2 linked regions of the Alligator mississippiensis genome follow. The protein of the gene in region 2 interacts with the protein of the main gene of each other region in a pairwise test. Links are inferred from orthologs where the notes say so. Each region holds a gene or a part of one and is shown on either strand. Other genes may lie near its edges.

Region 1 (7,847 bases), on a different chromosome or scaffold from region 2:
TCTGGCATAATTAAATAATCAGAGAACATTATTGGCTAAAAAAAGCCAATAACATTCATTTTCCTTTTAATCAGTGCTAATCTGATACACAACCGATATATCAGTGAACCTCTTTTGGAAATAAGGCATTTAACAGTTAAGATGTCCTAAAAAAAGCAATACTGTAAGGTAGATAAATCAGCACATACAAGTCCAACATCCAGAATAGTTCATTTTTCTACGAACGTTACCTTACAAAGATCTCAGCTCACTTGAACATCCCAAATGATCAGTGGTATTCCTCCTGGTTTCTAGAGTTCCTCTTTTGTTTAAAAAAGTTATCTACAAACGTAAAGGCAATAATTTTGGAAGAATTTCCTATATTATATAAAAAGCACCTTCACTGTGGCAAAAGGCTCAAAGCAAGCAATTCTCAACTAGGAGAGAGAGAGTGCAACAAGTTAAAGACTAACTTGTGCCCCCTACCCTTCCTGATCTTAGACTAACAAAGTTAACTACCTCTCCTATAGTCAATGATGGCACCACACAGCTGAATGAAATGGACTGCAATCTATCTACTTTAGAATTAAAGAGTTAGACTTTAAGATGCCATCCTTACAGCTGTTACTCAATTATACTAGTTACCAGGTCCATAGCCATATCACAGGATGTAAATGCTTTGCCTGGCATACAATTCATTTTACACTGCAACAAACCTGCAAGTCAGCACCTCTTGTTCAAAAGAACAGTTCAACACATGTGGTATTCCCTAGAGCAGGGGTGTCAATCATTGAGCCAGCAGGCCATATTTGGCCTACAGTCTCCCTATCCTGCCCACCAGACTGCACAGTTGGACCCTTTGGCCCTGCTGGGCATGGCAATCAGTAGTAAGCTTGGCTTGCTGCCACCAGACTCCAGTGTTCCTCCAGCCCCCACCAGACCTGCAGTGCCCGCCCTGCACCATGGTGGCTACTGAGGCAGCCCTCCTGCCCCAGGTTGGATCCAACCCACAAGGAGCCCTGCAGTCCAGATCCAGCCTAGTGCCCCATTGGGGGCAAATACTCCTGCCCAATAGTAAACTCATCAAGTCTTTTAAAATAATCCTAGTAGATACACTGGTATAACAACTGGTTAAAGCAAAGCTACTGATGAGGGTACTTTTACCACCAGTTTCAGGAATGACCTCCATGCTAAACAGGAAGTCAATCAGGAAGTCAACAGACAAGAAATATTGAAAATCACCAAATATTTAACACAAGCCACATTCTGATTCTTAAGAGTTCTGCTTAAATTGTTTGTTTGTTTTTTAAACCGACTAAATTTAATGTAAAGCATTCATAACCTTTATACCGAATATCTAATTTCTTCTGTGACTTTAAAGCTTTTTAAGTACTACCTTACTTCTTTAGAGAATAATAAAAATTGGGGGTACAGAAATTAATGCTGAACAAGCTTTCTCCCTTATCACCTTTTAGCTCTAGTACAGAACCTTTTACACTCCACCAGGGCTAAGTATTGTGACCCACTGAGCTGGGAAGCTTCAGGGCTAGTCTATTCAGGAAAACTGACCACAGAATAACCATAATAAGAGCAATTAATGCAGATTAACTACTTGAGAACAGCAGCCACACAAGGGAGGTACACCAGCACAACTAAAGCTGAATAATTCTCTTGAGACAGCTATGGCAGTTTCCCCTTTGTAAACAGAAACATCCTTTTCTGAGCTCACTAGCCACCAGCTTCAAACAAGCCCACATATCAGGAAGCCTAGATGGCAAGACATACCAAGTGAGAATATCAGCCTGCCCCCACTTAGTTCTCTAACCAGCTCGGCCAGCTGCTGGGGAGACAGAAAATGAAGATCCTGATTTCCGCAGAAACAATGAAGCAAAATCAATATTCTCAATATAGGGAGACGGGAAAGGAGGATGAACGATTTCACAGGGCGAGAAGCAGGCAAGAACCAGTAATGAAGCCAGCTACTTAATCTAAGGGTGGGGCCCTTAAAAAAAAAAAGAAAAAAAAAAGATAACAATAATTTAGTTACCACTGCTGGACTGCCAGGCACACAACCGTCCCTTCACAAGTGCATCCACCTTGCAGAAAGCATTATTTCCCACAGATTCACCCCCAGCAAGTGCCATATACACGGAGATAGAGATTAGTTTCCATTGTGAATGTCATCTGTACAAAGGCAGGCTACTGCTGAGCTAGGCCTGCACAGACTGGCCTCCACCCAAACAATAGCAGCTAAAGTGCGAATTCTGCCCCAGCCCATAGGAGCTGGGGGGAGGGGGATGCTGCTTCAGAGCCCGTTTTGGACTGAGCCGGCCGCCCACGGGTGAGCGCAAAGCTGTCAGAGCGAGGCTCCGCACCCCTTTCTCTCCGGCAGGTTGACTCTCACTCTTTATCTCCCCTCCCCTGATCTCAGCTGGAAGACAACAGAGGCTCCCCACCACCTGCTCGGCCAACAACACGAGTCGGGGAAGGCAGCCGGGTGCCACGCAGAGGCCTACCGCAGCCCCCACACCCCGCCGGGATCCAACCCCCTTTAGCGGCCCAGGCACGGCCTGCCCCCGCGGCTGGGGGGGAGGTGCTGGGTGGGCGCGCGCTCAGCGCCGCCTCCGGGGCCCGCGAGCGCCGCCTCCAGCGCCCGGAACCACCGATGAGGGAGGCGACAGCGGCGGCCACAGGGCCCAGCCCGGCCGGCAGCGCTGGGGAGGGGAGGGGAGGGGATGGGGGGCCCTGCCCGCACCCCGCGCCCGGCGGCGTGAGGGGGGAAGGATCCGCCCCCGTGCCCCGCCCGCGTGACGGGGAATTAAAACCCGGAGGCATTTTTCTGGCGGCCCCTCCCCGCCGGGCCGGGCCGCGGGAGCCGGCTGGGGGGGCGCGGCGCGCAGGGCCCGGCGCTCACCTCCACGTCGCGGCCCTTGTTCTTGAAGCTCTTGATGCGGTGGTTCTCCAGGCCCGCGGCGGCGGCAGCGTTCTCGGCCATGGCGGCGGCGGCGGCGGCTCCCAGCTCCTGCGAGGCGGCTCCGGCGGCGGTTCGCGGGGGGCGGGGCACGGACGTTCCGTGACGAGCCGCGGGGAGGGGCGGGGCGCGCCGTTGGGGGGGGCAGCGCCGTTGCTGAGTGACGGGGCGCGCGGCCCCAGGCACGTGACGACGCCCGGACGCAGCTGCGCGCGCTGGCGCGGAGCCGAAGCCGTTGCGGCGGCTGCGGACCACAAGACCCAGCATGCCCTGCCGTCCCGCCTCCGGGGGCTGCGAGGCCCAGCGTCAAGCGGCAGTTGCTCGCGCGGCGGCTTCGCTGCGCTGCTAATAGGGAGGGGAAGGGGTGCTCCGGCCTCGGGCTGTTACCATACGGCCCCCCGTGGTCCCTGCAAGCGCCTCCGCGGGGTGCAGCTTGGCCTAGGTTCCTCCTCTGTCTCCCTCCGCTCTCGCTTCACGGGAACAGGCCCCTTGTGAGCCGGGTAGGCTTTGGCCCGTAGTTCCCAGTTCGGCTTGCACCGGGTCCGGGGCTAGGGCCTAGGCCTTGCACAGCTGCTTAGTTTCCTCCTGGTCTATCAAGCTGTTCCCCTGCGAGAACTGAGTTGCTCCCAAGCCTGGGCGGATGCAGGCGCTGGAAACGGGGTGCCCGCAGCGTGGTGGATCATCACCTATAAAGCAACAACCACCCTTCTAGTTAAAAATAAACCTGAAGTTTCAGGGATAGGGGCCTGGGGCTGTGTCATTCTGTTAGATTGAAGCAACACAATAACAAAGAGAGTTAAACCTGCAGGGCTGTGAGAGAGCTCGTTCCCACAAGCAGACAGCAGCATGGCAGAGCAGAGGTTAGCTTGACTGGTGGAACATCAAGCCCATGAAAAAGAAGAGTGGGTCGCTAACACGTGGATGAAGAGTCTAGAAATGCTGCTGGTACTGCCAAACAGGTGGTTGTAAACTAAAGGTGAAGCAGGAATCAAAGGGGGTGCAAGTGCACCATCTGGATCCACTTCTGTTCCCAAGGGTGGCGATTTCAATATTGGTGCCTCCAAGATGGACTTTAGAGGCCAAAGTAAAAAAATGGCATGATTCACAAGTGGTCACCTATGCTGGAGGGTGCAAGTGAGAGATGAACAGTGAAAAAAAAACCCATTTGTTCTCCCTCTCAGCATCCAATCTCTGCCTCTGTGTGACACAGGATAATACTGGGAAGATGGACCTATGATCTGACCCAATACATGTCAGTTCTTATGTTCCTACGATATCACAGAGACTTGGTGGGACAGCTTCCATGACTGGAATTTCAGCAGTGAGAGCTACACTCTCTTTTTGGAAAGACAGGATTGGGAGAAAAGGTGGCATTTGCTTTGTATGTCAAAAATACATATTTGTTCTCCAGTTCAGAAAGAAGGTCAGAATATATGTGGGTGAAAATAAAAGGTGAAAAATACAGCACCAATAAAATGGTGAGGGTTTATCATAGACTACAAAGGATGAAAGTGTGGATGAGACACTTCAAGAAAGTGACAAAATTTATCTCAGTTATGAGATTGTCTTGATGGGAGACTTTGATATTCCAGACACCTACTGGAAGAATCATATAGCCAAACATAAAAAGTCAAGCAAGTTTCTACCTTGTGTGGAGAACAGCATTCTTTTCCAGAAAGTTGAGGGTACAATTAGGAGATCATCTATCTTGGATTTTGTCCTGACTAATAGGGAAGAATTGGTGGAGGATGCAAAGGCGAGAAAAAGATCACAATATGATAGAATTTATGATCCTAACACTGGGAAAGTGTAAGATCAGCAGAACTAGGACACTGTATTTCATAAAGGCAGCTTTCAAGTGACTTAAGGAGATGGTACTCATCATGTCATGGAAGGACAGACTAAAGGATAAAGGCACCCAGGACAGCTGGAAGCTTCTAAAGAGTATTGGAAGGTCAACAAGAAGCTGTTCCAACATGACAGAAGCATGAGAAGAATGGCAAGAGAGCAATCTGGCTGCACAGGGAGCTTCTAAGATGCTTCAAAAGCAAAAGGAAAGCATACAGGCAATGGAGAAATGGGCTGATTACCAAGAAAGCATACCAGGAAATAGAATTTGCAGGGACAAAATCAGGAAGGCAAGAGTAAAAAATAAACTTCACCTGGTAAAGCAAGTTAAGGGCAACAAAAAGACATTATAAAAATACTAGCAAATTCCCCGTAAAGAATGACCGTGGGGGGCAGGTGGGCGGGGATGGAGCCCCGTGTCCAGCTCCGCCCCACCTTCCTGTCACACCAGGCCCAGGCCCAGACCCACTGCCCCCACCATGCCCCCCACTTCACCACTCTGAGCTCCACCCCACTCCCCCCGCCACACCCTTGCTCCCCACCACCACTCTGGCTCTGGCCCTGCTCCACCCCGCTCCGCCTGTCTGGGCTTGGGAGGGCAGAGAGGGAGACAAAGTGCAGGAGGGAGTGGGGCAGGGGCAAATTACTTGCTCCTGCCCCACTCCCTCCTGCACTGTGGGGATTACCCCACGACCCAGCCATGCCGGTGCCCCTTTCACAGTGACTGGGGCCCCCCGGTTTGTGGGACAAGCGGACCCCAGCAGCTCCTCCAGAGGTGTGGTGCTGGGAAGCTGGGGGCCCCCAGTCTGTGCATAGGGTAGGGGCAGGATCTACCTCTGCTCCCTGCCTCGCTGCCGCTGCTTTGACAGCGGCGCGGTACAGCACCATGCGAGTCCCGCTGTGTAGCAGGCCATGGTGCCGCACCACTGTCGAAGTAGTAGCAAGGCAGGAAGCAGAAGCAAAGCCCACCCTTGCCCTGTGCACAGACAGGGGACAATGTGCCCCCCTGCTCCGCTCCTTGGTGTCATGCCTCTGGAGGAGCTGCCAGGCTCCAATTGTCCCATGACCCGGCCCAGGTGGGGCCACATTCACTGTGAACAGGGCCCCGGCTGGGCCAGGGCATGGGGCAATCAAAGCCCAGTGGGTGGTCCAGGGCCATGGCACCAGGGAGCCAAAGTGAGGGAGAATGTGCCCTGGTTCCCCCGTGGTGCACGCAGCTGCAGAAGCCGCCTGTCCTCACCCCTGGAGGAACCACTGGGCTCCAACTGCCCCATTACTCAGCCCAGCCTGAGCACAACCCATCCCACCCGCCCTCTTGGCAGCGTATGCACAGTTGGGCCAGAGTATTCTGGACGGACAGACAGACAGATGGACAGAGGGTCTAAGGCTTTTATTATATTAGAAATTAGGCCAGAAGAGAAAAACAAAGGAAGGTATGGGTCCTCAATTAAATAGACAGGCCAAACTCTTAACAAGATGTTGGCTCAGAGTGGCACGAGATGCATGGGTGCATGCCTGCCACGCCCCCACACCCTGAAGCCCCCCAGCAACCTCCAACAGCCACAGAGCACCCCGATGACCCCCAGCACAGCCGGAGGTAAGTGGGGCCTGTGGTGGGAGGGGACTAGGGTAGCTCAGCTGCGGCGAGGCAGCTGAGAGGAGCCAAAGAGGGTCTTGCCCTGTCCTGGCTCCTATTTGGCCCAGCCCCCCAGGGAGCCACACAAACAGGACACACAAATAGGCGTGCTTCTGGGCCCGGCGCATGGCTTAGCGTGGGAGTTCACTCAGGATGGTGAGCGGGAGGGCCCGAGGCCCTGCTAGTGAGTCCTAGGGAAGCTAGTGCCATCAGTAGCCAGATTACCAGCGGCACAACGTGGATGGGCACACGCCACACCCCAAGGGTCCCCTTGGAATCTGCAGCCTCTCCCTCTGGCACCTCAGAGGCCTTCACCCAGATGGAACCCACAGTTCTGGGCTCCATGCAGACAGAGCCTCTGGCTCTTGGTTGCCTGGCACATTGCCAGGCACGTGGGACCAGGACCATGACCACCTCCTCTTGCAGGGTTTGCTCCACTTTGTAGTCTCTGGGGCACCAGATTGAGGAGCTCCAGGCCACAGTCCAGAGACTACGTGCCATCAGGGATGGCAAGCAGGAGATAGACTCCTACTGCCAGGTCCTTCACTCCCTGGAGGCAGAGGGTAGACCAAGGTCACCTTCCAGGACAAGGGAGGACTCAGGGATCTCCCACACAGTCCGGCCAGGGGGTTGGACCAAGGTGGTCAGCGGCCCCAAGGCCCGCTGCACCAAGGTCCCCTCCCCTCTGGAGTTTTGCAACAGGTACAAATCTCTTGCAGCCCCAGTAGAGCCTGCAGAGCTGCCAGCTGCTGCTGGCAATGCAGGCTCACCCACAACTACCATTCCTGCTCTCCCTAAGGCCACTCGTAGAGTGGTGGTTGTGGGAGACTCCCTCCTGAGGGTGACTGAGGGTGCAATCTGTCGCCCCACCCCCTTAGCCCAGGAGGTCTGCTGCTTCCTGGGAACCCGTGTCCAGGACATGGCCAAGAGGATCCCTAAACTCATCCAGCCCAACAACCACTACCCTATGCTCCTTTATCCACGTGGGCATGAATGACACGGCTCGGAGCAATCCCAGCCATGTTATGAGATGCCACATTGTTTTGGGAGCGGGGTTTAAGGGGTTGGGGGCACAGGTGGTGTTTTCCTCAATCCTCCCAGTTTCGGGCTATGGGCTGAGGAGGGAGAGGAGGATCAAGGTAGTCAACCAAAGACTGAAGCGCTGGTGTCATCATGAAGGCTTAGGCTTCTATGATCGCAGTCCACTGCCTCTCTCACCAAAGAGCAGTCTGCTGGGGAGAGAGAGCCTCCACCTCACTCCGCTGGGGAGGAAGTTCTTCTCAGCCAGATTGGCTGACCTGCTCGACCGGGCTTTAAACTAAGCCCACCAGGGGTTGGGGAGGTTATCGCCACTGCTAGCCCACTGGGCAACCCTTGTAAATCTAGCAAGCTAAGGCACTTAAGGGAACCCAC
Region 2 (7,962 bases):
ACGGTCCACAAGGAGGGAGGGGGTAGGTTGGAGGAAGTTTCTCAGTCTGTGTAGAGTCTCATCATGCGGGTCCTCTTCAGGTGGAGTAGAGCAGTCACCTACTCCCTAATAAATCCTCCTCTTCCCTCCCACCCACCTGCCCCTCTAACTCACTTCAAACTGAACAGTTTGCCCATATCCTCAGGAGGACGTGCTAAATGCTGAAAGTTCACCATGCTGTCACAACTTTTACCAAAGCTACTTCTAAAAATATTTATTTGTCCATACAACAGAATGTGGTTCTTTTAGGTAACGCTCGTCTTACAAAACTAATATTATTATTAAATGTAATTTTCAAAATTAGTAATCAAGAAACTAGTAGTTTCACTTTTATGTCTAGTCAGGTTGCTGTTTTGTGACTAAACAACATCCAAGTTGAAGATGGCACAAAGGAATGCTTTAAAAAGTTCTCTCTTGCTCCTCCCGCATTAAAAAAAAAACCCAGCAGCATTCAGATGGAATTTTATTAAAGTATTTAAGTATAGTTGACCCTCAGTATTTGCATTCTTCCAAGACAGAAGTGGCAGTTAAAAAAAATAAGAGAGTTTGTAAATAGCTTGATAATGTTTAAAAGGAAAAGTTGAGAGAGAGAAAAACAAATTCACAAGTTGCTTCCCTCCTATAACCAACAGAAATGGATTATAATCTTATACTATATGCAGGTACTTCTTACAAACAAAGTGATTTTGTCTGAATTCCAAGCCTCCCAACATCCTAATAGTATTCCTGTATTTTCAAAGTTATTTACAATATGAAGTTGTAATTTATACAGTGACATTGAGTAAGCAAGGTCTTGTAAGTTACAGTGATAACTTTTCACAGTAAGAACAAGTACATGTCACTAAGCCACCCAGCCAGCTTGTAGTTTTGCCACATCTAGTTCTCAAGTTACCTTCTCTTCCTTGTTCCTTCTAAATGAAAGATTTAAACCAACAATTAAGAAGACTGTTGGATTAGATTGTTGAACAACTGAACGGTTGAACAACTGAGAAGATCGTTTATCATATTGTAAATAACAGTTGTAGGAGGTAAAGCAGTGAAAGACTTTACACAAAAGTCTATTAAATGAAAAGTAAACATACAGAAAAAGATAAGACTTTTCTCCCTTATTAGTATCCCTAGTTCAGTTTAAAGCACATGCCTGAAGCTTTCTGGATGTGGGTATTAAAATCATTTTAAAAAATTAAAGCAAAGACTACCAATATAACCCTTCGTAGTGTTAGAGTACAGTTGTATTGTAACTTCACTCATACAGTTCCTGGGGATTCCCAAAACAACCAATTTCCTATGCCAATTCTAAATTGCAACAGAGTTGATAAGGACAGGTCAGAGTCTGATTTCTCAATGTTTATTTTGCAGGTTCCCAAGACAAATTTTTATTTTTGTATTTCATGCCCATATTTGCAGTAATTCACAGCCAGAGCTCTTTTGGAGAAGGACTGTAAGAGGCTACTTTATCAACACCTTTCTGGATACATGCAATTAAACTGGATAAGAGAAAGCTTGTATTAAAGCTGTTCAGTGATGAAAATGCCTCAGCCTACCCTCCAAGAAGCAAGAGGCACCAACACATGCAGAAAAGCTGGATATAATTCCATAGCAGAGGCACAGGCGGCTCTCCTCACATGCCCTGCCATAAGAACATGAAAAATAAATAAAGATCATTCAAGACAACTCTCTTGAAACAATGTATACCATGTCAGCTTCCCTGATGCAGGCTCTAGGCAGATTCTTTCAGAGGATCTGACGTGAGCTTAGGCTCACTAAAGCTTGTGCTATATATATATATATATATATATATATATATATATATATATAATCTCCTTGGGATACTCCATAAGGCGGCAAAACTGCCCTGCCTTCAGCTTGCCTGATGTCTGGGTTTGGCATTGGTGCCCAGGAATCCAGCTCCACTGCTAACTGGCTCCATGCCTAAAGCTGCCAAAACCTCCACTTCAGAAATTACATATTCTCCGTCCTTCTGCTCCTTCCAATGTAAAGTGCGCACCACTTTACACCACGCACCGAGTCAGCGAAGCTCAACCAAGGCACCTCAGCACTCTGGGGTGCTGCGAGACCCTTTCGGGGTGCCACAGGATGCCACACAACGTCAGTACCATTAGCTGCGCAAACATGGTTCACAAGAGAAACCCCAGAATAAGAACCCACAACATTAAAAACCATTCTGCCCTGCAGGGTCTTTCTGAGCTCTTAACAACAGAGACGTCAAGTCACGCAGAAGCAGGGGCGGAAGGGACCTTCAGAGCTCATCCAGTCCAACCCTGCCCCACACAGGATCATCCCTATTCAAACCATAATCTAAACCGTGCCTAAGATGACCGCCAGCCCTGACACAACACACCCGAGCCTGCCCCAGGTAAAGCAGGAGCGCCGCTGAAGCCAGCGTCCTGTTTCTATGAGATGTTGTTGACATCGCTCAACAAATCCTGCAAAGGAAAGCAAAACCCCCTCAGCCTGCACCAACCTGACCATAGCTTAAAAATTTCTCCCTGGCATGAAATGTGGCGACCGGACTGACCCCGAGCAGAGGGGCAAGGCCCTCCAGCCAGAAACCTCCGGGTTTGGTGCCAGCAGCAGCCAACACCCAGCGCCTCTGAGGGAGGCTCAGCCCCTCAGACACGGGGAGCCGGCCAGCGGGGGCAGCCCCCGTAGCAGAAGGCAGACGCCGACACCGCCCCGGCCAGGGCCCGCACCGCCTCTGCCGACAGGGGCAAGCCCACAGCTTCCCTGGGCAGCGGCTCCGCGGCAGCAGCAGGAGCCCGCGGCCCGGCGGGAGCTGCCTCCCTGCCGCCTCGGGGGGTCCCTCGGCCCGACCCGGCACTCACGGCCTGTGCAGCGGCTCCTCGGGGACGGTGGCCGGGCCCTGCTGCTGCTGGAAGGAGCGCAGCGACTCGAAGGCCTTCATCAGCTTCTCCATAGTGGCCATGGCGCCGCGAGGAACGGGCGAGACGCTGCAGGGGCCGCGATGGCTCCGGGTTACCTCGCCGCCATCTTGGCCACGTCCCGTCGTGCCCCGCGCGGAGGCGCTCACGAGGGCAACGGGTGGAGGGGGGGGAGCGACAGCCTCATCCGCCAATCAGAAACGAAGATCGAGGACCCGGGATTCGCCCTCCCCGCCACTAGCAGGGTAGGGAGGGAAATGACAAGCTTGGTTGAGAGCTGCAGTGACGAACGGAGCCACGCTCCCTCCGGGCGCTCCGCCCACTTGGCTCTGCTAGTGGGCGGGTCCTAGCGCCGCTCGGGTACTCGGCACGCGGGCGCCCTCTGCTGGCTATGCGGTGCCGATGCTTCGTGCCCGGCGGCTGAGCCAGGCGGAGGGGAGAGGGGGGACCTGATTCATAGCAGCCCCCACAGCTCCTAGAAAGGAGACTGGCACGTTGGGTGCGCCCCCGAGCTGCCCCCGTCGCAGTGGGGTAGGGCATGGGGGTGTCCCGGGGGGTGTGAGCTCGTGTTTTATCCAGAGAAGACAGAGCAAGTTCCTCTGAATATCTAGGTTGTAGCTGGCTTGGTCTGGAGGCAAAAGCAATCAGGACTTGTGGTAGAGGAGATCTCTTTTATTAGAGCAACTAGACTTTTACCCCCCCGCCCCCAAAGCTTGCAATTAAATCATGTTTTTTGCAAAAATCTAAAAGATTTCACCTCTACCACGGTCCTGATTGCTTTTCCCTCGGAAGCAGACACCAGCGCACTGGGGCATTAGCAGTCAGGCAGCGTCCCCGAGAGCAGGGACATGCAGAGAGAAACCCGGCTCATTGCGCGGTGCCAGGTCCCAGTGTTGGCTACAAATGTCCAACTCAGGATCCTTAAAATTCTGGTTTATTAGGCGGATTGAAACACTGTAATGAAGTTAAATCATAAGCCTTGGAGCTGATGCCCACACGCACACATGCACACCCCCACAGTAGCAAGCTCCGAGAGTCAGGTATAGCTATCCCACAGGCGCTGGAGTCTGCCGTTGAGGCTTCTTCCAGCGTGGTGTTATCTTCCAGAAGGGGGTCGCCGGCTGGTCCTTCTGACTGGACAGGTCAGGTGCTGGTCAAGTTGGAGATCAAGAGGGCGCCCCTAACGGTCACTTTTCACTGCTTTTTACCTGTCCTTGGCAGACTTTGGTGACTTCCCAGTTTTCAGGTTTGCCCAATCCACGGGTCGTTGACCCTCGTGGAGCGTCCGTTGATTAATTTTGAATAGGGCTCTGGGAGCGGTCGATCTGGAGATATTCATCCCAAAAGTTGGTCCCCGGCGTTGATTAACTCAGACCAGGGCTTCTAGCCCTTGAACAGTGAAGTTTAGAGATTTCCCGGTTGTTACATTGTCTTCTATTGATTTCTTCCATTGGTTGATCTGCGGTTTCCCTAGGTGTTAATTGCTGTCTGCTACTGTGTTATGCATTCAGTCACTGATTCACTCGCTCTTTCAGGGGCCAGCCTGATACAGGGAAGCAACAGTTTGACTCCTGCCCTTGTTAACATTGTTACTAAAGACATTTATAGTTGAAAGTTGAAAGGTGAGGAGTATAAAATATAAGCTACAAGAGTAATGCCATGGCACACAAATAGATAAAAATACCAAAATACAAGGGGAGATACAAAATGCACACATACAAATTTTAAAACACAATTCCTTATCTTAAAGTGAAAGAAAGAGGAAGGAAGAAAAGGTAGAAGAGGAAAAACATATTCTAAGAGGGGAGAGCAAATGCAGGCAAGAGGAAAAGGGGGCTTTCTGCTACACCAGGGCCCCCAGGGTGTGAGGCAAGCTCCACGCTCGCCCACCTCTGCCTTTGTCTGGGGGAGTCTTATACCCTTCAGGTTCAAGTGTCTGAATTCCCACTCCTCCTTCTAAGATAAGGAGCTCTTGACCTATTCAGTAGGGAGTAAGGAAACAGAGTCATGATTCGTGACCATTGTTCTTTCCTAGGGTCATGACTTACTACCATCAGGTGCCATCGCTGGCCTGGGTATCTCGACTCCCTTGAAACTGTGCCTCACAATTCACTGCTCTTGATTTGCTTCTCTCATTCAGATCGAGCTATTTCTAGGATCAGAGCATCCGGGAGGTGAAACATAGTGACACACCCAGCACAGCAAAAAAGGGTGTTCAGGACTCCCCCACAGAAGTGAAGGCAGTTACCCAGGGGTGGGATGGCACAGAGCATCAAACCTCCAAGGGGGACAAGCTGAAGTAACCCAAGTGAGAGAACCAACCAGACTGCTGGGGTGCCACTTACAGCTTCTGACAAGCACATCCCCACTTCACCAGCCCTGCGGGGGTGTTTACTGCATACATGTACAAAGAATATACATTTGAAACTCAACATGCAAATCCATTTCTAAACCCGTTTACTTAAAACTTGTATGTAAAAAAATGCACACACAACTAATGCACAGACCCTCCACAACAAGTCAACAGGATCACTGGGCTTCAGTTGCCCATGTCAGGAGACACCCTGAAGTAGAAGTCCAATGGAGCTCTCCCCCAGCCTACCCCTCCTTTCATTTTTATGCCCATTTTCAGTAGGCCTGGCTTTCATGCTTTCTTAAAAGCAAGGGCTGGGTACACCCCACTCATTATGTTTGGACCAGCAGAGCAGAGTGGATGGGCATTGCCAAAGCAATAATCATGCCCTCTCCTGTGGGACATGGCAGCAGCCAAGCAGTATCTCCTGCCCTTTGAAGCAGAAGACCAGACTGTACTTCTCACTCACAGACATTGTACAAAGCAAGGCAAAGACGCATTTTTGTCAGGGGAAGGGGTATATTCAATTAAACTAAAAAGCTCAACTCAGTAATGTAGGATGTGGAAGGGATGCTTATCGTTTCCCTTGAGCGACAGAGCTAACGATGTATAAACTCATAAAAACAAGTCCTAAAAGTAGCTTTTTCCTTGGAATGGACAAAGGCTGGTATTGGATGTATTAATCAAGAGATCTTCGGAAGCCACTATCAGGCCGAAGTATGTATTTCATACATTATACACACAGTGCAAATTACACTTGCCAAATACTGCTGTACTATCAGTACTCAGTATAGTTTTACAGAACAGATTATACCCATTTCCAGCAACTGCACTTAATACACACTTGCTTGCCAACCGCTATTGCTGCTTGATTCTTACTTTATCAAAATGGAAAAGCCAAACACCTCCCTACTCTTCCTTTCTCCCTATGCATTTATTGCAGAACAAAGGCATTGACCAGGGTAAATGGAGACATTTTTACAGGAAGCTATGCTGAAAGTTGGCAACGCATCATCAATTCTTGTCAAAGTGAATAATTTAATCTGGAAGAGGTCCCATTTTTTCCTGTTTTCCAGTCCCTTGTTTTGAGGCAGGTATAGGTCAAAGTCAAACTAAATTTATTTTGTACCTATATTACTGCACTAAATACCAGCATGATGTTTTATGTTTATATGGACTTCCTCTTTACTTGTATAGCATTCACTGAATTAGAATAACCTCTTCATATCTTGTCCTATTTGACCATAAAACATGTTCCAAATACTTTGATTTCCCAGAAGGAAGGACTCCTCTCTCATGCCTGATGTGCCACATCCCAGGGTATTTTCTTCTGCTATTCAAAATTAATTACTGCTAAATTTACAGCTTACTATTATAAAGCTGTTTTTTTAAGTCAATATGTCTGTCAGTGCCCATCCAATTAAAAAAAAAATCAATGTGGTATTGCAATGAATTTTCCATACAGTTACAACTGCTGGTTTTAAAACTGGTGCTAGAATATGTTTAATCGCAACTCCCCCATTATACAAGTTAGATTAGTTAAAACAAGGAAGGAATATTTTCCCTGTGTAATTAAAAACTCTGACAACTCAGGCACATGTTTTTCGAAAAGTAGCAAAGGAACAAATGTGACCTATTTAGTGCAAAAGTAACTGCACAGTAAATCCTACACTTCTGTTTTCTTACTTCTGTACATCCTGTTTTCACATCACTGATTTCTGTTTATTGAATAAGTGCTATGCCAGCTGTTGTCATTCGTTTGGAGAAAAGCTGCAGCATAAGCTCCAATTACTAACACAAGATTTTTTTAAATAGATTTTGGTTCCATACAAATTCAGCTTTGCTGTCTTCCCTGACATGGATGCTCCAGAGTATCCCCTCAGCTATGGAAAATTTTTTATTTAGTCAAGCCTATATTTGATTATTTTAAGTTAAATAAAAGAAGTATCAGAGTTCCTTGTAGGGCTAGGTCCAACTTCAATCCTGACAAGTTAGACTCCCTAATACACAATTTGTAGGTACATAGCCTCTAGAACAGAATGCAGTTAGGTGCCTGGATTCCCTGCACAGAGAAAGTTAAGACACTTCAAGGTGGGATTTGAGGCAACTGCCTAGAGCTAGCCAATAAAAAACGCTAAGTACTGGCCTAAGGCTGAACTCCCATCCCCTTCTATCATTCAGGCAAAGGATGGAATTGAGCAAAGGTTCCACTTGCTTGAAACCTAGAGCCCAAATTCCTCTCCGAAGGACAGGTGCCTATATCTGTTCCCTGAAGGCTGCCAGAATCTCTCTTGCCCTTGCTGTGTGCCTTCTTTTCTGCATAGTAGTAGAGCTGCAACGGGAAAGATGGAGGTCTTTTGCACCAGAGCAGGCTGCTGCATCTGCTGGGCTTCAGCACTCAAATTAGTCTATGGCCTAGGCCCTAGTAGTTAGTTATTCTTCTGGGACATGGGAAAAGTAGGTGTGAACCCTTCAGGCTGAACAGGGCCTAGAACTCAGGTCCCTTACTTCCTGAGAAAGTTTAAATCATTAGTATCTAAGACAGGGCTGTCCAACTTTTGAGCAGCTGCAGTATAGGGGGTGCTGCACACCATCTGAGCCCCCCGACACAGGCTGTGCAGAATACCCAGGACCCTCATCACACAGGCCCCCTCCATGGGCTCCTAT

What was found. The genes of interacting proteins can lie anywhere in the genome.
Region 1: the proteins of HTT (region 2) and KPNA3 interact in binary tests that used the Homo sapiens proteins (3 or more experiments, as listed by UniProt). The link is inferred for Alligator mississippiensis from reciprocal best matches to the Homo sapiens genes HTT and KPNA3.

What each region holds. Positions count from the first base shown.
Region 1 is NC_081824.1:414,741,447-414,749,293, forward strand, and holds the start of KPNA3 (importin subunit alpha-4), read right to left. Parts: upstream 3,048-7,847; 5' UTR 2,975-3,047; coding exon 2,894-2,974; intron 2,370-2,893; exon of another isoform or gene 2,027-2,369; intron 320-2,026; exon of another isoform or gene 231-319; intron 1-230. UniProt on the Homo sapiens protein: Functions in nuclear protein import as an adapter protein for nuclear receptor KPNB1. Binds specifically and directly to substrates containing either a simple or bipartite NLS motif.
Region 2 is NC_081825.1:21,137,344-21,145,305, reverse strand, and holds the start of HTT (huntingtin), read right to left. Parts: upstream 3,066-7,962; 5' UTR 2,987-3,065; coding exon 2,886-2,986; intron 1-2,885.